Ovis aries: one gene and its partner. The protein of the gene in region 1 purifies or fractionates together with the protein of each later gene. This does not show direct contact. Links are inferred from orthologs where the notes say so. Each region holds a gene or a part of one and is shown on either strand. Other genes may lie near its edges.

What was found.
Region 2: the proteins of IQCB1 (region 1) and EXOC1 purify together in Homo sapiens (affinity purification with mass spectrometry; 3 studies listed by BioGRID and IntAct, counting the BioPlex papers as one, with this or other methods). This does not show direct contact. The link is inferred for Ovis aries from reciprocal best matches to the Homo sapiens genes IQCB1 and EXOC1.

Annotation. Positions count from the first base shown.
Region 1 is NC_056054.1:187,093,026-187,103,311, reverse strand, and holds the end of IQCB1 (IQ calmodulin-binding motif-containing protein 1), read left to right. Parts: intron 1-1,713; coding exon 1,714-1,845; coding exon of another isoform or gene 1,846-1,849; intron 1,850-3,457; coding exon 3,458-3,614; intron 3,615-4,457; coding exon 4,458-4,687; 3' UTR 4,688-5,048; downstream 5,049-10,286. UniProt on the Homo sapiens protein: Involved in ciliogenesis. The function in an early step in cilia formation depends on its association with CEP290/NPHP6.
Region 2 is NC_056059.1:71,993,919-72,004,947, forward strand, and holds the start of EXOC1 (exocyst complex component 1), read left to right. Parts: upstream 1-5,801; 5' UTR 5,802-5,956; exon of another isoform or gene 5,957-6,144; intron 6,145-10,979; 5' UTR 10,980-10,989; coding exon 10,990-11,029.

The DNA of each region.
Region 1 (10,286 bases):
GTGAATGGGGATATCAGGATAATAGCTATACACCAAGAATAGAGAACAATTGATCCAGATTGGAGCAGGTCAAAAAGCTCCGGAATGTATATCCAAGAAAATTAATTTGGTAGATTGCCTGATACGTTTTACTGTAAGGACAATTAGGGCAGAAGTTGTTATATATAATCAGTGATAAATACATAGAAAAATAAGGAAAATAACAGAATTATTAATTCCTTGCTTATTTTTCTAATGTATTAAAATATGCAAGGAAGAAAAAAGTAATCATCATATACTATATGATCATAAATAGCCTTTAGGCATAAACACTGAACATGAACATAACTAAAACTATGATTTAATAATATTGAATATTTAGAGATATAGAAAGTATGTGTGAAAGAGAGCTAAGTCCTTACCTTTCATATAAGAAAATCAATAGATAATACCTGTTACTGAAAAAAATCTCAAAAATGTAGATAGAAATAAACATCAGTAGAAAAACCTGAAAGAATTAAAGTTGATGTCTTTGAGCGGAGAGGACAGGATAACTCGGCAGAGAGCTGTAAATTTTAACAGTTCTTCTAAAACTGATACTTTAAACAATAGAGTTACATCAACAAATTTTTGGAAAGCATCAAATTGTAAAATATATTAGGTTGCAGGTCATGTAGTTTTCTTGCAACTCTTCAGCTCTATAGTTGTAGCACAAAAGAAATTGTAGACAGTATGGAAACAAATGAGCATGATTGTGTTTCAATAAACATTTGTAGACACTGAATTTTGAATTTCCTTTAATTTTCATGTCATAAAATAATTCTTTTCCTTTTGAACTTCATAATCATATAAAATGTAAAAGGGCTTGTCTGGTGACTCAGACAGTAAAGAATCTGCCTGCGGTGCAGGTGACCTTGGTTCAATCCCTGGGTCAGAAAGATCTCCTGGAGAAGGGAATAGGTACCCATTCCAATATTCTTGCCTGGAGAATTCCATGGACAGAGGAGCCTGGCAGGCTACAGTCTATGGGATCGCAAAGAATCGGACACAACTGAGCAACTAACACTTGCACTTCACTTTCAAAATGTAAAAAAATCATTCTTCTCCAGCTACTCAAAAACAGATAGCAGCTGGATTTGATCTGTGGGCCATAATTTTCCAACTTTTGCCTTTAATAATGTGAACGTAGAACAAAGAAGAGTGAAAAAAAATGGACAAAATAATGTCTTGTCTCCTAATCTTGCCTGTTATAAGATTTCTTATCAGGAATTCATTCTGAAGAACAAAAGGAAGCACATTTGTTTACCAAACTTTTTCTAATATAGTGTCTCCTTGATCTTTACTATCTTTTGGCTAAGTAGAATTGGGGGTCCCTGTTTTCTGTAGACATAGAACCTGTCTTATGGAGATTGAGTGACTTGCCCAAAATCGAACAGGTTTATAAGGGACTAGAACTTAGACTAGAACCCAGAGCTGGTTCCCTGTTTTTTTCTCTTTTTTGCTTTCTGTAAAAATAATACATGAATATTTCCTTATAAAATATTAAAACACCACAAAAGATTATAATGATAAAGTTATTGTCTTCTGTCACATCTGTCATCTCTCCCTCTATACACACTATAAGTTAACAACTGTTACAGTGTTGTCCTACTATATATTGTTGTAGAAAGAAAATAGTTCTATCAGTCAGGGAAGAAAAATCACAAGTTTTGTTTTTGGTTTTTTTTTCCCCAGACTCTTAAATTCTTAGCAAAATGTCGTAAGAAAAAGAAACAATTTGCTCCTTGGCCTGGACTCAGAGAACTCACTGATGCACGCAGAATTGAACTGAAACAACAAGTGGATGACTATATCAGAAGACATCCAGTGTGTAGGCTTTTGTGTTACATTATTGCAGTGTGTGATACTCACCAACAAATAAGTGTCTCAGTTGTATGTGTACATTTATTGTTGGCATAAGGTAATGCAATGGCTTTATTGTAGCCTTACCATGGCATTACCTTGACTTTACTATGGCTTTGGAGTCTTAATTGTGTGGACCGTAAAGTCAATAGTAAAGGACACTTCACTTCAACTTAGTGGTTTTCCATACTGCATCAGCGAGACTGTTGGTACATCCTTATCAACATTTATTATTTTCACATCCTAATGAACATGAAGTGGTATTGTGATTTGGGTTTATTTACATTCTGTAATAATTAGTGATTTTTAACATCTCTTTTGTGCTTATTGCTTATTTATATATCCTTCTTTGGAGAAATTTCAATTGAAGTCCTTTACCCATTTTTAATCAGGTTTTTTTTTTTTTTAGTGTTGAGTTTTAGGAATTCTCTGTATATTCTGGATATTAATTCCTTATCAGATGTATGATTTGCAAATATTTTCTTCCATTCTGTGGGCTGCCTTTTACTCTATTGATAGTGTCCTTTGATGCACAAAACTTTTTCATTTTGATGAAGTATAATTTGTCTAATTTTTGCGGTTGTCTGTACCTTCACAGTGTCATATTAAAGAAATCATTGCCAAATCTAATATCATAAAGCTTTCCCTCTATCTTTTCTTCTAAGAGTTTTGTAATTTTAGCCCTTATTGTTTAGGGCTTTGATCTCTATTTTTTATTAATGCACTGTGCATGATTCTGATGCATTCTTATATTTAAAAAAGAAGTACTGCTTTAGCCATGCCCTAGTACAACTGTTACTCTGTGGCTGACAAGTAAGATGTTAGTTAGAACAAGGCAGCATCCATGATCCAGGAACTGGAATACCTGAGAAAACTGTAGTGTTAGAAACTTTTATCAGTTTCAGTGTTGAAGTTATGTCATCCTTGTTCTAAATATTAATAATTAGGTCAGTTCCCTTTAAAGTAGCTAACTAGCCAGAAGAATATGATCCTTTGAATGATTCTGTCCCATGTTCTTTGAAATTAGAAGCTATATAATATTATGGCTTAGATAAGTTTGAGAGAAGGAATAGGATAAGAAGTAAGGCAGTTTCTCAGGTGGGGTTCAGAACAAAGGGATTGGTCCTGTTACTCCTCCAGGCCAGTGTCTTTACCAAACCATTTGTAATTTTCACTGTGATTCCTCAATCTTACCTCTTCTCCCAGAATATTACACTATGTGAGGAAGTGAGGTATAGGAGTATATCAAAAAGAATTTTGCCCACTTGCATTTTCAATGAAATCTGCTTTTAAGAAGTTATTTAATGTTTGTTCAAGAGTACAAGATCGGGCTTCCCTGATGGCTCAGTGGTAAAGAATCTGCCTGCCAATGCAGGAGACATGGGTTCAGTCTCTAGTCCAGGAAGATCCCACATGCTTTGGGGCAACTAAGCCCATCCACCATAACTACTGAGTCTGTGCTCTAGAGCCCAGGAGCCAGAACTACTGAACCCACATGCAGCAACTAGTGAAAGTGAAACATACTTTGATATATGTGTCCTTCGTGTGACAATTTTCTTCTGTCGTTTGTTCCCAGGGCTCTCAGATATCAGATGTGACCAGCAGGGAGCTCCATTCCCAAGCACAAGAACGACTGCAACACTACTTCTTGGGCAGGGCTCTAGAAGAGAGATCTCAACAGCACAGGGAGGCACTGATGGCTCAGATCAACACCAACATTGAACAGTTGATGAGTATGTGCTCATTCCATTTTTGTTTCCTAAAAGGAACACCCTATGCAAGATTTTGGTGACAGCCATAATCTTCAGAAGGAAAATAGCATTTAGTGGTCTATTAGCTCATTTCCTATCCTCAGAAATTTCTACTTCTGGATCATATCAGCACACAATGTTTTCAACTGATGCAAATCCCATAACCTTCCTGACTGCTTCCCTCAGCCTTTCTATCATTCATATGTACCAACTCAGACAAAGTTATTAATTTCAAAGATGCTGAGCCCTACTAGCCAGATTCTGTTATATAATAAGAAAAGCTTCTTAAGCCTACTTTAAAAGTAGATAATGACAGTATTTTATGGTGCCATTTTATATTTTTAATGAATCATTTTCACAAAAATTAATTCACCTACTTCTCACAACTGCTGATACATTAAATGAGAGATCTCGTCCATGAAGCCAGTGTTTCAGACAGGTTCTGAAACACTTATTACTTGTGGAGCAGAAGGGGTCAGGATCCTCTGTTTAGTGCCATTTACTTGTAAATTTTGTATTTTTGAATGGATAGGTGACTAGAACTGAGCCTCTCATCTGTAAGAATTCTGCTATTTGTTTTTAAGTTCCTACTCTTTTAAATAAACCATCTAAAAAATATCTACCTCTTTATTCTTTCCCTTTAAACACAGAAGGATGGGCTACATCTTGTGAATAGTCACATGCCAACTACAGCTGGCAACAATAGACTCAGAGTTAGAACCTAGTTTCTGCTGCTATTGCAGAGTTCCAGCTTTGCAGTTTCTAAGTTTCTGTTTGTCTGGTACAGAACTCTTCCACTCACCTGTTTATTTTTTGTTACTACAGAATCACCAAGTCTGAAGGAGGCAGAAGGAAAAGATCCTGAGCTCTTCCTAAGTAGATCCAGGCCTGTGGCAGCCAAAGCCAAGCAGGCCCATCTTACCACCCTGAAACATATACAAGCACCCTGGTGGAAGAAGCTTGGGGAAGAAGCAGGAGATGATATTGATGTCCCAAAGGATGAACTTAATATAGAATTAGGAACTTTATTCATTGGTGGAACCAAACCACCTTAAAGGAGTTACCTGGAGGAATGACATATCTATATTTAAATAGATTATATTGGTTCTACCTCTGACATGCTAGTAGACTAGTGTTATCCTTAACTCATGGCTTTCTAGAGGTTCTTCTCTAAACAAGACTTGATGGATATAGGCAAAGAGTTATTTTCTACCTCAATTTCAATTCTTTTCTTTTTCCACACCTCCATCCTTGGCCACACATACAAATTGGTACGGCTTTTATTATGAAACTAAATTCATCATTGTATTCTGTTATTAATATATATTTGAAATGTGATATTTCTTTTTTTGTTTCTGCTGTTTTCCAACTAAAGGTGTTTTCTCAATAAATATTTTCAACAATTGTTCTGAAAAACTTGTCAGGTTTACTTCAACTTTTCACATTTATTGATTTTTCTGTTAAATAGGCCTCCCAGATAGCGCAGTGGTAAAGAATCTGCCTGCAATATAGGAAACACAGGAGGCACAAGTTCAATCCCTGGGTCAGGAAGATCCCCTGGAGGAGGAAATGGCAACCCACTCCAGTTTTCTTGCCTGGAAAATCCCATGAACAGAGGAGCCTGGAGGGCTGTAGTCCATGGGATCTCAAAGAAGCAGACATGACTTAGCAAACGTGCATGCACTCACAGGAAGTGTGCTCTTGGAATTTATTAAGGTGAGAGAAAGAAATGGTCAATAGAAAAACAACTATTTTCTACCAGTGTTTGAATTCAGCTTCTTTCTTATTTCTAAAAGTAACTACATTTAAAAAGTCCACTTGGGATTCAGTGCCAGAATTCTAATAAAACTGCATTCTTTCTATTAAACTAAGAGAATATAACCTACTATTTCCGTTTTGGTCTTGTCTCCTAGGGGTCTTAGAACTAAAATAATGTTAAATTTCTGCTATGATTCTCAATATCTACACGATTATCAGGTTCTAGCCTAACAATTTTGAATTTCGCTATTATCTGTGTTTTAATACCAAAAGCCACCTCTATTTGTGTTTTGATAATACAAAATTTATGTTAAAATCAATTAAATAATTGGCTCCATAACATAAGGAACCTGGAGTGTGCTTTTTCTATAAATGAGTAGAAATACCAGTATTTCTGGATGGAAAGACAAAATACTATAATGTAAATCCCTCTGAAGTTTAGTAAAATTCTAGTCAAAAATCTAGTGTAATTTTTATTCATAATTTAGAAAATGAATAAAATTCATTTGTGAAAATAAGCAGATGAGAGTTCTGGTTTCACTTAGAATATAAAAAGTTCCATGAGAACGTTTCTTCCATCTTAACAACAAAAAATTGCAAAGTAATCTATGAAAATCGTTTTTCTTGAGCCTATCAGATAGTTGAGGCCTCAAGATAACCAAATAAATCGAGGGGACTCAGTATCTGTGAAATAAACCATTTTATCTTTGAGAGCACAAGAGACAAAAGTGGCTGGAAAAAAATCAACTAAAATTTTAACAGATTCTTAAGGGTGAAGTGTGAGTTGCCTGTCAGAATATCTAGGAACTTTAGAAGTTAGAGCTCTACCAAATATGAGAAAGTTTGGGAGCAGGGCAGGAGACCTGAAAAGATACCTCTGTGGCATAGGCAAACAGGAGATGACAGGCTGCTACTGGGTGACATGCCCAAAGCCTCACCTGCTTTCCGAGACCCTTTTCTTAAAGGTCTTAGGCTGCTGGAGCAGGGGCAGCAAGCCCTCTTAACATCTAAGGCTCAGACGAAATTCCATTGCATTTAAGAAAGGAACAGAAAACCTAGCTGTCGGTGCTGAAGACAGGGGTGATAGGAAATAGTCTACCATGATACAGGTAGAGTCCAGTGTTACTAGGGAAGTATGGAAATAAAAACCCTTGTCTCCTGGGAGGGAGGCAGAAAATGACATTGGGCCCAGAAATCCTACATCTACTCAAAGCAGATGTCTGGTAAGCTAATGAAAAGGAGCAAACTCCTGCTAAAAATGAACCACAGTTATGAAGCAGTTTGACTACCATGGCATAAGAAAGCCCTATCTCCAACCCCAGGGAGAAGAAACTTGGCCTAAAATTTAGGCTGGATCAGGACAAAAGACCACCCAAGTCTCAACAACTAGCCTAGCACCAAGTAATAAGCAGCAGTAGTTAACCACTGGGGTAGGGAAGCATGGAGAGACACCCTTTCCCCGCACTCCCCCACCCCACCCCCTGGCAAAGGCAAACAGGGATGCTTGAAGATGGAGGTAAAGCAGGAACATAGAAAAAACTTCAGCTTTTCAGACCCCACTATAAGCATAAGGTAATAGCTAAAAAATACAGGCACTTGAAGCCTATAGTACATTAGAAATGAAAAGCCAGACCCGGCTAAACTCCTGAATGGCTTAACTCAGCCTCCCTGCAACACTGCAATATAATTAATCTTTTAATTTCCGACTTAATGCTGTCTCACTTTCTGACTTAAAATGCTGCTATGTTTACTATAACAAAACTAGTTCAGTATTACTCAGATAAATGAAAAATAAGATTTTTAAAAGTGATATTAATTATTTGATCATCAACGTTTATCACAATTTAACTTTATTGACTCCTTATTGTAAAATTCAGACTTATATTGAAAACCACTAGGGCATTCAGGTATGACCTAAATCAAATCCCTTACAATTACACAGTGGACGTAACAAATAAATTCAAGGGATTAGATCTGATAGAATGCCTGAAGAACTATGGACAGAGGTTTGTAACATTGTACAGGAAGTGGTGGCCAAAACCATCCCCAAGAAAAAGAAATGCAAGAAGGCAAAATGCTTTTCTGAGGAGGGCTTATAAATAGCTGAGAAGAGAAGTGAAAGGCAAAGGAAAAAGGGAAAGATATACCCAACTGAATAAAGAGTTCCAAAGAATAGCAAGGAGAGATAAGAAAGCCTTAAGTGAACAGTGCAAAGAAATAGAGGAAAACAACAGAATGGGAAAGACTAGAGATCTCTTAAAGAAAATTAAGAGCTACCAAGGGAACACTTCATGCAAAGATGGGCACAATAAAGGACAGAAATGCTAAGCAGAAGAGTGAGAAGAGGTGGCAAGAATACACAGAACTATACAAAAATGGTCTTTTTTTTTTAAAAAAAAAAAAGGTCTTAAAGACCCAGACAACCATGGTGGTGTGGTCACTTGCCTAGAGTTAGACATCCTGGAATGTGAAGTCAAGTGGGCCTTAGTAAGCATTGCTACAAACAAAACTAGTGGAGGTGATGGAATTCCAGCTGAGCTATTTCAAATCCTAAAAGATGATGTTATAAAGTGTTGCACTCAGTATGCCAGCCAATTTGGAAAACTCAGCAATGGCCACAGGGCTAGAAAAGGTCTGTTTTCATTCCAATCGCAAAGGGCAGTGCCGAAGAGTGTTCAGACTACCATACAGTTGTGCTAATTTCACAAATTAGCAAGGTAATGCTCAAAATCCTTCAACCTAGTCTTCAACAGTATGTGAACCAAGAACTTCCAGATGTACCAGCTGGATTTAGAAAAGGCAGAGGAACCAGAGATCAAATTGCCAACATCTGTTCAGTTCAGTTGAGTTGATTTCAGTTGTTCAGTCATGTCCAATTCCTTGTGACCCCACGGACTGCAGCATGCCAGGCTTGCCTGTCCATCACCAAATCCCAGAGCTTACTCAAACACATGTCCATCAAGTCGGTGATGCCATCCAACCATCTCACCCTCTGTCATCCCCTTCTCCTCCTGCCTTCAATCTTTCCCAGCATCAGGGTCTTTTCCATTGAGTCAGTTCTTTGCATCAGGTGGCCAAAGTATTGGAGTCTCAGCTTCAGCATCAGTTCTTCCAATGACTATTCAGGATTGATTTCCTTTAGGATGGACTGGTTGTATCATAGAAAAAGCAAGAGAGTTCCAGAAAAAAAAATCTTCCTTGACCTACTCTAAAGCCTTTGACTGTGTGTGTGGATTACAACAAACTGTGGAAAATTCTTAAAGAGATAGGAATATCAGACCACCTTAACTGCCTCCTAAAAATTTGTATGCAGGTTCAGAAGCAACAATTTAAACCAGACATGGAACAATAGACTGGGTTCAAAATTGGGAAAGAAGTACGTCAAGGCTATATAATGTCACCCTACTTATTTAACTTCTATGCAGAATACATCATGAGAAATGCCGGGCTAGATGAATCAGAAGCTAGAATCAAGATCGAGGGGAGAAATATCAATAGCCTCAGATATGCAGATGATACCACCCAAATGGCAGAAAGCAAAGAGGAACTAAAGAGATTCTTGATGAAGGTAAAAGAAGAGAGTGAAAAAGCCAGCTTAAAACTCAACATTCAAAACCCTAAGATCATGGCATCTAGTCCCATCACTTCATGGCAAATAGATGGGGGAAAAATGGAAACAGTGAGTGGCAGATTTTCTTTTCTTGAGCTCCAAAATCACTGTGGATGGTGACTGCAGCTGTGAAATTAAAACATGTATGCTCCTTGGAAGAAAAGTTATGAGAAACATAAACAGTGTACTAAAAAGCAGAGACATTACTTTGCTGACAAAGGTCTGTATAGACAAAGCTATGGTTTTTCCAATAGTCATATATGGAAGTGAGAATTGGACAATAAAAAAAAGCTGAGCACCAAAGAATTGATGCCTTTGAACTGTGTTGCTGGAGAAGACTTGAGAGTCCCTTGGAGAGCAAGATCAAACCAGTCAATCCTTAAGGAAATCAACCCTGAATAGTCACTGGAATGACTGATGCTGAAGCTCTAATACTTTGGCCACCTGATGCAAAGAGCCTACTCATTAGAAAAGACCCTGATGCTGGGAAAGACTGAGGGCAGGAGAAGAAGGGGTGACAGAGGATGAGATGGTTGAGTGGCATCATTGACTCGATGGACATGAGTTTGAACAAACTTCAGGAGGTGGTGAAGGACAGGGAAGCCTGGTGTGCTGCAGTCTACGGGGTCACAAAGAGTTGGACACGACTGAGCAACTGAATAGCAACAACTTTATTGGATGTCTTGCTCACATCATAGCTCATTTTCTATACAGAATAGAGTACTAGAGTGGGTATAATACAAATAGAGACCCAATACATAACATTTATTTTTATAAACCTATAGAGTGAGTGTCTAGAAATAGAAATTTCTGCTAGTTAATAGAAATTCCATAGAAAAGCTATTCTGCATCCTGTTTTTCATTTTAGGAATATTCATATCTGTTTAAGTCATTTTCAAATTATGACAAAATAGAATCTAAAGGCATGTTTGCTATTATAGTGATTAAATTTTGAAGATTTTATTCACCTTATAAGTGAAAGTTTGTTTGCATTGACCAGCATCTCACTATTTCACCTTCTGGGCCTTGGTAACCAGTCTACTTTCTGAGTTTGACTTTTTTTTTTTTTAGGTTCCACATACAAGTAAAATCATACAGTTTTTCTCTCTCTGGCTTATTTAACTTAGCACAGTATCCTCCAGGTTCATCTTTAGTGTCACAAATGCAGGATTTCCTTCCTTCTTGTGACCAAATAATATCATGTTTATATTTTCTCACATCTTCTTTATCCATTCATCCATTAACACCTAGGTTTATTTCACAACCTGTTGATGATTATGAGTAAT
Region 2 (11,029 bases), on another chromosome or scaffold:
AGAAGACACAAGTAAATGACATGAAAGGGTGACTCAGACTTCTGTGGAACTTCCATAGCACTGGCAGCTCTTCCTCAACTCACTCCTTTGTCCTCCTGGGGCTCCCTACAACTACCCATCTCAGAATAAACAGCGTAAGTGTGGTTCACAGACGTGTTGGTGTGTAGGAAAAACTGAACGGTGGCTGTGCAAAGCCCCACTCAGGGATGGCTTTAAAGAACAAAGGTGAAGAGACATCTTGCCAGTTGGAAGAGCTTGGGGCAGTATTCTTCATTGCACGTTTTTAGAGAGAAGTGGCCTAATGTACAAACATCCAGAGACTCCTAGGTTTGTCTTTCTTGCCTGAGGTAACTCTGCCAACATCACCAGAATTATAGCATTCCTGACTGTTACCCTGACCGAGGAATATATTTTACAGCTGAAACAAAACGTGACAATACACACATGATCATAGACTCCACTGATATGGTCGTATCCCCCATCACTCAGAAGCAGCCAGCTTCTGATGTGGTACATGCTTCCAATCAACCAATAAAGACATAGCTAAAGACATAGCTCTGGAAAGCCCCGAATGGGAGCAGGATTGGCCCATTTTATCATCACTTCCAGTGACTCACAGAATTTGTGTTTCCTGCCTCTCAAATCCAGGCATTGCTGGATTATAATAATTAGCTCTCCAGGGGTTGGGTGGGGGCTTCCCTGGTGACTCAGTGGTAAAGAATTCTCCTGCCAATGCAGGAGACGTGCGTTTGATCCCTGGGTCGGTAAGATACCCTGGAGAAGGAAATGGCAACTCATTCTAGTATTCTTGCCAGAGGAATCCCACGAACAGAGGAGCCTGGTGGGCTACAGTTTGCAAAAGAGTCACAAAACAGTTGCACACGACTTAGCAATTGAACACCAACATAAGCACGAGGGGTTGGGTGGAGGAGGCTTCACTGAACTTGAAACTCCCTCACTATCATTTGGTTGCTTTGAGTTTCTCACGATAGTAGTCCAGCCAGCAAAGGGAGGAGTGACTGCACTGGTGGGAGTAATCAACTGCGATTAGCAAGTTCAGTTCAGTCAGTCGCTCAGTCGTGTCCGACTCTTTGTAACCCCATGAATCGCAGCACACCAGGCCTCCCTGTCCATCACCAACTCCTGGAGTTCACTCAGACTCACATCTATCGAGTCAGTGATGTCATCCAGCCATCTCATCCTCTGTCATCCCCTTGTCCTCCTGCCCCCAATCCCTCCCAGAATCAGAGTCTTTTCCAATGAGTCAACTCTTCACATGAGGTGGCCAAAGTACTGGAGCTTCAGCTTTGGCATCATTCCTTCCAAAGAAATCCCAGGGCTGATCTCCTTCAGAATGGACTGGTTGGATCTCCTTGCAGTCCAAGGGACTCTTGAGAGTCTTCTCCAACACCACAGTTCAAAAGCATCAACTCTTCAGCCCTCAGCTTTCTTCACAGTCCAACTCTCACATCCATACGTGACCACTGGAAAAACCACAGCCTTGACTAGACAGACCTTTGTTGGCAAAGTAATGTCTCTGCTTTTAAATATGCTATCTAGGTTGGTCATAACTTTTCTTCCAAGGAGTAAGTGTCTTTTAATTTCATGGCTGCAGTCACCATCTGTAGTGATTTTGGAGCCCCCCAAAATAAAGTCTGACACTGTTTCCACTGTTTCTTCATCTATTTCCCACGAAGTGATGGGACCAGATGCCATGATCTTCGTTTTGTGAATGTTGAGCTTTAAGCCAACTTTTTCACTCTCCTCTTTCACTTTCATCAAGAGGCTTTTTAGTTCCTCTTCACTTTCTGCCATACGGGTGGTGTTATCTGCATATCTGAGGTTATTGATATTTCTCCCGGCAATCTTGATTCCAACTTGTGCTTCTTCCAGCCCAGCATTTCTCATGATGTACTCTGCATATAAGTTAAATAAGCAGGGTGACAACATACAGCCTTGACGTACTCCTTTTCCTATTTAGAACCAGTCTGTTGTTCCATGTCCAGTTCTAACTGTTGCTTCCTGACCTGCATACAAATTTCTCAAGAGGCAGGTCATTAGCAAAGGATAATTAGCAAAGGATCTGGGATTGTTGCTATACAATAGCAATGGCGGGGGGCGGGGGGTGGGTAAATCTAGAATCCAAAGAATTCAACAGAGGCTTATCTTGGGAAAAGTTGAACAGGCAGTCACACAATCATGGCCCAACGAGAGGGAGGGAAACAAAAGCTGAAGGTTCCAGTTGCCTCACTGAGCCAACAACCTAGATCAGGTGATGTGCTGGCCAAGGGTGAAGGGAGGTAAGGGTGGGGAGTACAGCCGGGAGCTCATAAGAACAAGCACAGTCTTGGCATCAGTGTAGCAGCAAGGACTGAAGCTGTCCAGTCCTTGAGTTATTGCATCAACTCTCTTATATTAAGTCTTTGCAGAGATTGCAGGTGTCCATCACCTTGAAGGGGACTGTAAAGGACTAGACTTAAATGGCCAAGCAGGTATGAGTGGTACAAAGACTGGACTGATGGACACCATCTGTATATCTTCTGTCACCATTTCAAATCCTTCAGCCACTTATTCCAACCACTGCTGCGGCAACCTGTTCTAAACAGTCCGATGAACTGTAAGCAAGTACGATATGGCAGTGCCGTTCCTCTTCCCTCCTGCCTCAGGACTTCTCTGATGCGGGAGTCAGCTTGGCATTCACGACTGTGCATTTGGGAAGTGTGGAGTAGTTAATGGCTTGGGGCCTTAACGTTTGATCAAAGGTAGACCGGAGCTGACAGATAAATGCTTCTCCCACTCTTGGTTTCAGTGGACAGTTTTGACACTCACCTCATGACTTTTCCAGAAGGTACTAAGGGATCAAGAAAACAGACATGGTGGCAACCAACCGAACAACACATCCTTATACTGCCTCTCTCTCTTCCTTCTTTTACTTCCCCTCCCTCATCTCTCACTCTTGCTGCCTGGGATCAAAACCCCAGATATAATACTGTGCCTCCACTTTGAGAGGAATCCAGGAGAGGAAGTGAGAAATGGCAATTCACTTCTCAACTCTGAAGAGGGCTGTAAACATACAAGATAAAATAATAATAATAATATGACAAAATAGCACATGCAATTGTCATATAGAGTGACTACAGTAAGTGTTCTGGGACTGAACAGGAAGGACCCAAGAGGCCTTTTTAAAGATCAGATCAGATCCTGCTCTTAAAAGGGAAGTCATTCAATGAAACTGAAAAGCATTTCAAGTAGTATTGACCAGAGTATATTGATCTCAGTAGCAAACAGGTCCCTACTATTTCTGCAGATTTTTCTACCAAATTATATCTTCAGATACACACTGAAAGATACTTTGCATATCTCATTTTGTCCCTTTCTCAGTGAACCCATCTTGAAAGAGTGAGTTACACACTCTTTTGCATTTCCATGGTGTTTCATCTCTTTTTTCTACTTTTATTGTTTGGTTCACCACACTAGACTGTAATTTATCCATCTATTTAATTCTGTCTCTACAATGACAGTGGGAGAGACAGACCCCCTTCTCAGTGGGATCCCCATCTTTGTATCTCAAGTCCCTGGCACTTAAGTGGCTCTGTTTCTTAAATAAACAAATGCTTGCACCAAAGGGTTCCTGCAGAACCCTTGCAAAGGATGGAATTGAGCTGAAGTAAAGAAATCACTCCTTTGAAATACCAACACATTTATCTGGCCTGTAACTCTTTTTGGTCATTTATTTTGTCTTATTTTATATGTATTTATATGTATATCTTATTTGGCCCTACAATACTATGAACTTCTTCAGGGTAAGAGTCATATCAAATCACCTCCACACCTCCATCAAAGTATCTGGCATAAAATAGGTGCTAGGAATATGGACTAAATAAATCACTTGCCTTGCAACCAACAACATTGCCATTATCTATGCTTCCTAAACTTACACCTGCATAGGTGTCATCCTGTTAAGACACAGATTACCATTCAGTAGATCTGAAGTAAGCCTGAGAGCTGCATTTTCTAAAGAACTTTCAGATGATCCTCAAGAAGCTGCTCTACAGAACAATTTTTAAATGTCAATGTCACTACATCAGTGGACCTCTACAGCATATGAAACTCCTCCTGGAAGATATTAAATGTGCTGGTGGGGACTTCCCTGGTGGTCCAGTGGTTAAGACTCCATGCTTCCACTCCTGGGGGTACAGGTTCCTTCCCTGATTGGAGAAAGAAGATCCTGCATACTGTGGGGCCTAAAATAAATTAAGAAAGAAAGAAGAAGAAAAAAGTGCTGTTATCTTGGCCCCAGCAAGATACCTCCTGCCCCCTCCCCCATTCTGATTTAACTCATTTAAACTCTCCATGCTATAACCTGCAAGTATCTAGATTTAGATTTAAAGCAAGAGAGTTTGAGAAAAACATCTACTTCTGCTTTATTTACTACACCAAAGCCTTTGACTGTGTGGATCACAAAAAACTGTGGAAAATTCTTCGAGAGATGGGAATACCACACCATGTTACCTGACACCTGAGAAATCTGTATGCACGTCAAGAAGCAACAGTTAGAACTGGACACAGAACAACAGACTGGTTCCAAATTGGGAAAGGAGTATGTCAAGGCTATATCTTGTCACCCAGCTTATTTAACTTATATGCAGAGTATATCATGTGAAATGCCAGGCTGGATGAAGCACAAGCTGGAATCAAGAGTGCCGGGAGAAATATCAATAGCCTCAGATACGCAGATGACACCACCCTTATGGCAGAAAGCAAAGAGGAACTAAAGAGCCTCTTGATGAAAGTGAAAGAGGAGAATGAAAAAGCTGGCTTAAAGCTCAACATTCAGAAAACGAAGATCATGGCATTCGGTCCCATCATTTCATGGCAAATAGATGGGGAGACAGTGGAAACAGTGGCTGACTTTATTTTGGGGGGCTCCAAAATCACTGCAGATGGTGACTGCAGCCATGAAATTAAAAGATGCTTACTCCTTGGAAGAAAAGTTATGACCAACCTAGACAGCATATTTAAAAGCAGAGATATAACTTTGCCAACAAAGGTCTGTCTAGTCAAGGCTATGGTTTTTCCAGTGGTCATGTATGGACGTGAGAGTTGGGCTATAAATAAAACTGAGCACCCAAGAATTGATGCTTTTGAACTGTGGTGTTGGAGAAGACTCTTGAGAGTCCCTTGGACTGCAAGGAGATCGCACCAGTCAATCCTAAAGGAAATCAGTGCTGAATGTTCAGTGGAAAGACTGATGTTGAAGCTGAAACTCCAATACTTTGGCACCTGCTACGAAGAACTGACTCACTGGAAAAGACCCTGAGACTGGGAAAGATTGAAGGCAGGAGGAGAAGGGGATGAGAGAGGATGAGATGGTTGGATGGCATCACCGACTCGAAGGACATGCGTTTGAGCAAGCTCATGGGAGTTGGTGATGGACAGGGAAGCCTGGCAAGCTGCAGTCCATGGGGTCTCAAAGTCCACAGGGACACGACTGAGCGACTGAACTGAACTGAACTGGTCTGATCTAGATTTAACTGAACTTTAGGCGTGCAAAAAAGAAAACATTTGATTAGATCTCTTCTTCAGTGAACTGTTGAAAATAGCTGAATAAATAAGTCTTCTAGAGAAAGGAATACGCACACCAAATCCCCCAGGTTCGGAGTCAGTCTCCAGCGACAAGGCCCGCTCCTGCCTGTCCTAGACACGCCCCTCCGGAGAGACCTGACCCCACCCCCTTACCAAGGCCAAAGCCGCGACTGCTTCCTTCTCAACCCAACCGACTTCCGGCAGGGAGGTGTGTCACGTGCCCGGATATAGGAAGTGGTGGCCGGACGGCTGCTTCCAGTTCACTGCTTAGTTGAGGGGTTCATCTTAGTAACGGTGGCCGCCCCAGTCCTGTCCGGTCTCCGTCTTGGAGGACCCGCCTCGGCACAGCCGGGCTCGGTCCGGCCTTGCGGTAAGCCTTCGGCCGCGGCTGCCGGGCGGTCCTGGCGGCGGCGGACAAATGAACGGAGGGGTGGACGCCAAGGTCTGAGGCGGCTCCTCAGTCCCGGTGCTGGTCTAGCGCCGGGGGCTGGGTACTGCTCACTCCGCCGTCAAAGCCCCCTTCTCTTTCCCAGCCCTTCTGGGTAAGGCGGAGAGGCCGGTGGGAGGATCCCGTTACCCCCTTGTTATCCTGGGGGGCTGGGAGGGCAGCCCAGACGTCCTTTTCCGGTTCCGCCCATGAAAATCAGATTTCATCGTAAAAAATGGTCTTGAACAGTTTGTTCTTTGGCTTGGACCAGGAGGGGAGGGTCTGGCAGTACCTTCCCTTTCTTTGTCCAAATCCTCATTTTCTTCTTCCCTGGTAGCTCAGATGGTAAAGTGTGTGCCTGCAATACGGGAGACCCGGTTCAATCCCTGGGTCGGGAAGATCCCGGGTTCAATCCCTGCGCCAGGAAGATCTCCTGGAGAAGGAAATGGCAACTCCAGTATTCTTGCCTGGAAAATCCCATGGATGGAGGAACCTGATAGGCTACAGTCCATGGGGTCGCAAAGAGTCGGACACGACTGAGCGACTTCACTTTCTTTCTTTCTTTCATTTTCTTCTAAATCTCATAAGTGCATTTCCCTGTTGCCATGCTGTGGCGTGTTATCTTCAGTGCTCCATGCACTAAGGTGTCTGGATAGCAGACAGGGTACTTACCCACACGCACTCACTCTCACGACAGTACTGCTTACAAGTTATCTGCCACATCCTGTAGTGATCCGGCTGGATTTAAGGAAACAAGGACCGACATAGAGTATTGTGGCTGACTGTCTCTGGAACGTGGTCAGACATGGGTTCTTATACCTGGAAAATAGTTTTAAAGAACTTCTAATGATTTATTCACTGACTTACCAAAAAAGTATTATAAACACTGGAGAGTTACTCACGCCATCTTTATAAAGTAGATGCCGTTGGAGGCAAGAATCTTCCTGTCTTCGTGGATGAAGAAGTGAAGTGAAGTCGCTCAGTCGTGTCCGACTCTTTGCAACCCCATGGACTGTAGCCTACCAGGCTCCTCTGTCCGTGGGATTTTCCAGGCAATAGTACTGGAGTGGATTGCCATTTCCTTCTCTAGGGGTTCTTCCCAATCCAGGGATTGAACCCGGGTCTCCCGCATTGTAGACAGACGCTCTACCATCGGAACCACCAGGGAAGTCTTCCTGGATATGTCTGTCATATTCACCATGGTACCTAGAATTTTGCCTCGCACTTAGTAGGCATCAGTGTTTGCTGAATGTGTAGTGCTTTTCATTCTGCCTAACTCCTTTATCAACTGTGCTGAGTTCCTCTCTTGTTTTTACCACTTAACCATATTGTCAGTCCTTGCTTTTGACCAGAGAGGGATTGGGTGATAGATGCTGACCACTAATAGTCATTTATTCATTTAACCAGTTTTTATAATTCAGCTTAGATTTCCTCAAGAGGTATTTGTTTAGCACTTACAAAGAACATGAAACTGCTAAAACACCTCCTCCCCCAGCCATCCCCCCGTCCCTTGAAGAGAGTTCTTGAGATCCAGGAACTTGTGACTTTATGAACCAGTTGGACAGCAAGTGTTGTATGTTTAACAAATGCAATAAGTGATATAGCAGTTGAGAGGAGAGATCAATTTGGGTTAAGGTCTGTATTGAATCAGTTCAGTTTATTTGCTCAGTCATGTCTGACTCTGTGACCCCCATGGACTGCAGCGTGCCAGGATTCCATGTCCATCACCAACTCCCAGAGCTTGCTCAAACTTATCTCCATCAAGTCAGTGATGCCGTCCAACCATCTCATCCTCTGTCATCTGCTTCTTCCTTCAACCTTTCCCAGCATCAGGGTCTTTTTCAAGGAGTCAGTTTGTTGCATCAGATGGCCAAAGTATTGGAGTTTTAGCTTTAGCATCAGCCCTTTCACTGAACATTCAGGACTGATTTCCTTTAGGATTGACTGTGTTGAATCAAGTTCATGTAAATTATGGAATGTTGTTAGGATTTGGGTAGATGATACCCTCTGCATGGAAAATATCCTAAGCAAAGATTTAAAGGCTAGAATGATCAGAGGGCTTGGAGTGAAAGGTTTGTCTTTGGGAGCATTAGGAAAGTGTTGAGCAAGGGCATATTATGATGAAAGGTATGTTTTAATATTATTTGTTGAGAGTTTTGGGGTTATGGAAGCTTGCAAAGAGGTAACCAGATGCTATGGTGTTAAATAGATGTAGTTGGTGTGAACCTCGATTGTACTTTGGCAGTAGGACCAGAAAGGATAAATTATGTGTAGATGAAGGAAAATTAGGAAAATGCTTTTAGCTGTCAGGTTATTTGGTACCTTCATTTTGTTGAATTTATTTACTGTCTGCTATGTCTTTGCCAAGTTCTGGGAATATAAGGATGAATAAGACACAGGCCTTGCCTGCTAGGAAATACTCTTAATGGGGAAAAGAATACAACTAGCTGGACAATATGGTTTGTAAGTGCTGTGTTAACAGAGTAGAGGGGAAATGTTAGAGAAGTAGGAAAGGATTTTTTTTTTTTTTTTGGCGTGTGTGACTATTTCACAAAAGAGGTCTTATTTTAGCAGGATGAATTGGAATTTTCCAGGGAGAAAAGAATTTGAGAAAAAAGAAATTGCATGAACAAGAGCCTGGAATTAGAAAAGCAAACTGGCCAGTATCCAGGGTGGCTTCAGCAAAGGATAGAGTTGAGCTTTTAACATATGTGTAGGATCTAGAACATATGAAGAGATAGTAACATAGACAGTTTATAATGGGTGGAATGGAGGTTAAAATGGAATGTAGCAAGATGAAGAAGTGTTGAGCAAGGGCATATTATGATGCAAGATATGTTTTAATATTATTTGTTGGGAGTTTTGGGGTTATGGAAGCTTGCAAAGAGGTAACCAGATGCTATGGTGTTTAATAGATGGTGAAGGGTAGATGGTGAAGTCATTTGCAGAGAGGGAGTAGACTGACAGAATTAGGGGTTGAAGGAGAGAAGTAAGGATTTGCAACACCGATGGAGTAGGAAGAGGGATCATCAAAGGAAGTGTTAAGGAATTGCTGAGCAACATTGAAAGTTTAGCATCGATTGGATTTAAAAGTTGTAATGAGTACAATGGACAGGGATATGAGACCTTCTTAAGTGCCATATGGTAGCCCAGGAGAAGGAGAGAAAAAAAGACAGTTGATGGAAATTGATGAGCAGGGTGAACTGGTCTACAAATGGAGCAAGATCATTGAAAGGAATGGTGTGGGTGTATGGAAATAAACACTGCCTCCAGGCTACACTGGGAAAGAAATTAAGCTTGGAGAGGCCAGATGTTCTAAGAGAACAGGATGGAAGGGGAGATCAGAAGACTGGAGGCTGAGATGAGGGGGAATAGGGATGGAAGTGGGAAGATGTGGTTTTTCTGAGAAAAGCAATTTTTTTTAGTTGGAGCAGCGATAGAAATGTTACAAATTGAGTAAAATAGAGGAGTTTTCAAAAGAGTCATTGTATTATAAAAATACATTCAAAGTCATTTATTTAAAACTCATAATTTCTTCATTTTCCCATAGAAACAGTGTTAGGAGTAGAAGTTAATTTTGTAACCAGCTCACATGTATTAAATACTATACACCTTCATTGGAAATAGTAATACATACACACACACACACACACACACACACACACACACACACACACACACAAACAAATATGTATTCAGTATATTTAACAAATAAACTTGAAAAGAGATGTTTAAAAAATATTTAAGTTGATATTTGAAAAGAGGACATTGAATTAGATGAGAAAAGGAAGACGAGTAGAAAACTATTCTCTAACAACAGCTTTTTTGAGATATAATTAATATACCATAAAATTCACCCTTTTCGAGTATATAAGTCAGTGGTTTTCAGTATATTCACAGGGTTATACACCCATCAATACTGTCTAATTGAAGGACATATTCATCAGCCCCAAAAGAAGCCCCATACACATTAGCAGTCATGCCTGCTTGCCCCCTACCCCTAGCAACCGGAAATCAGTTTGTCTGTGTGGATTTGCCTACTCTGGACATTTCATATACATGGAATCATGAAATATGTGGCCCTTTGCAGCTGACTTCTTTCACTTAACATAATGTCTTTAGGATTCATCTGTGTGTCAGTAGTATGTATCAGTACTTTGCTCCTTTTTATGGCCAAATAATATGCCACTGTATGGATATGTTTCATTTTGTTGTTCCCCAGGACGTTTGAGATGTTTCCACTTTTGGCTATTGTGAATAATGCTGCAGTGGACATTTATGGGCATGTTTTTGTGTGGACATAATTTTCAGCTCTCTTAAGTATATACCTAGGAGTGGAATTGCTGGGTCATGTGGTAAATTCACATTTAACCATTTGAGGAACCACCAAATTATTTTCCAGAGCAGCTGCAGTATCTTACAATCATCAGGAGTATATGAGAGTTCCCTTACCAACACTTGTCTTTCTAATTTTAGCCATCCTAGCAGGTGTAAAGTGGTAGGTATCTCATTGTTTTAATTTATGATTCCCTAATGGCTAATGATGTTGAGCATCTTTCCATGTCATTTTTAACCATTCATATGTCTTCCTTGGAGAGATGTCTCCCAAACGCTTTGCTCAATTTTTAATTGGGTTGTTTTTTTGTTGTTGAATTGTAAAAGTTATTTATATAGGAAATTTATATTTAAATATTGGGAATGGGCCTTTTAATTTTTCTTAAATCTTTTAAAAAAATATTTAGTATTTGGTGAGCACATCAAAAGATCTTAGAGTTTGATAATACTGGTTCTCTAATTTCTTTTCCAAACACACAGCTTTTTATCTTTATGATGTAGGTGTACAAATGTGTGAAATTATTTCCCCATGCTTATTAACCATAAATAAGGTCTTTTCCTAATCCTAAATGGAACAATATAAGAAGAAGGATTTTGACAAATGTAATAATCTATACTCTGAATTTTTCAGCTGAGTAAAGATGACAGCAATCAAGCATGCATTACAAAGAGACATTTTTA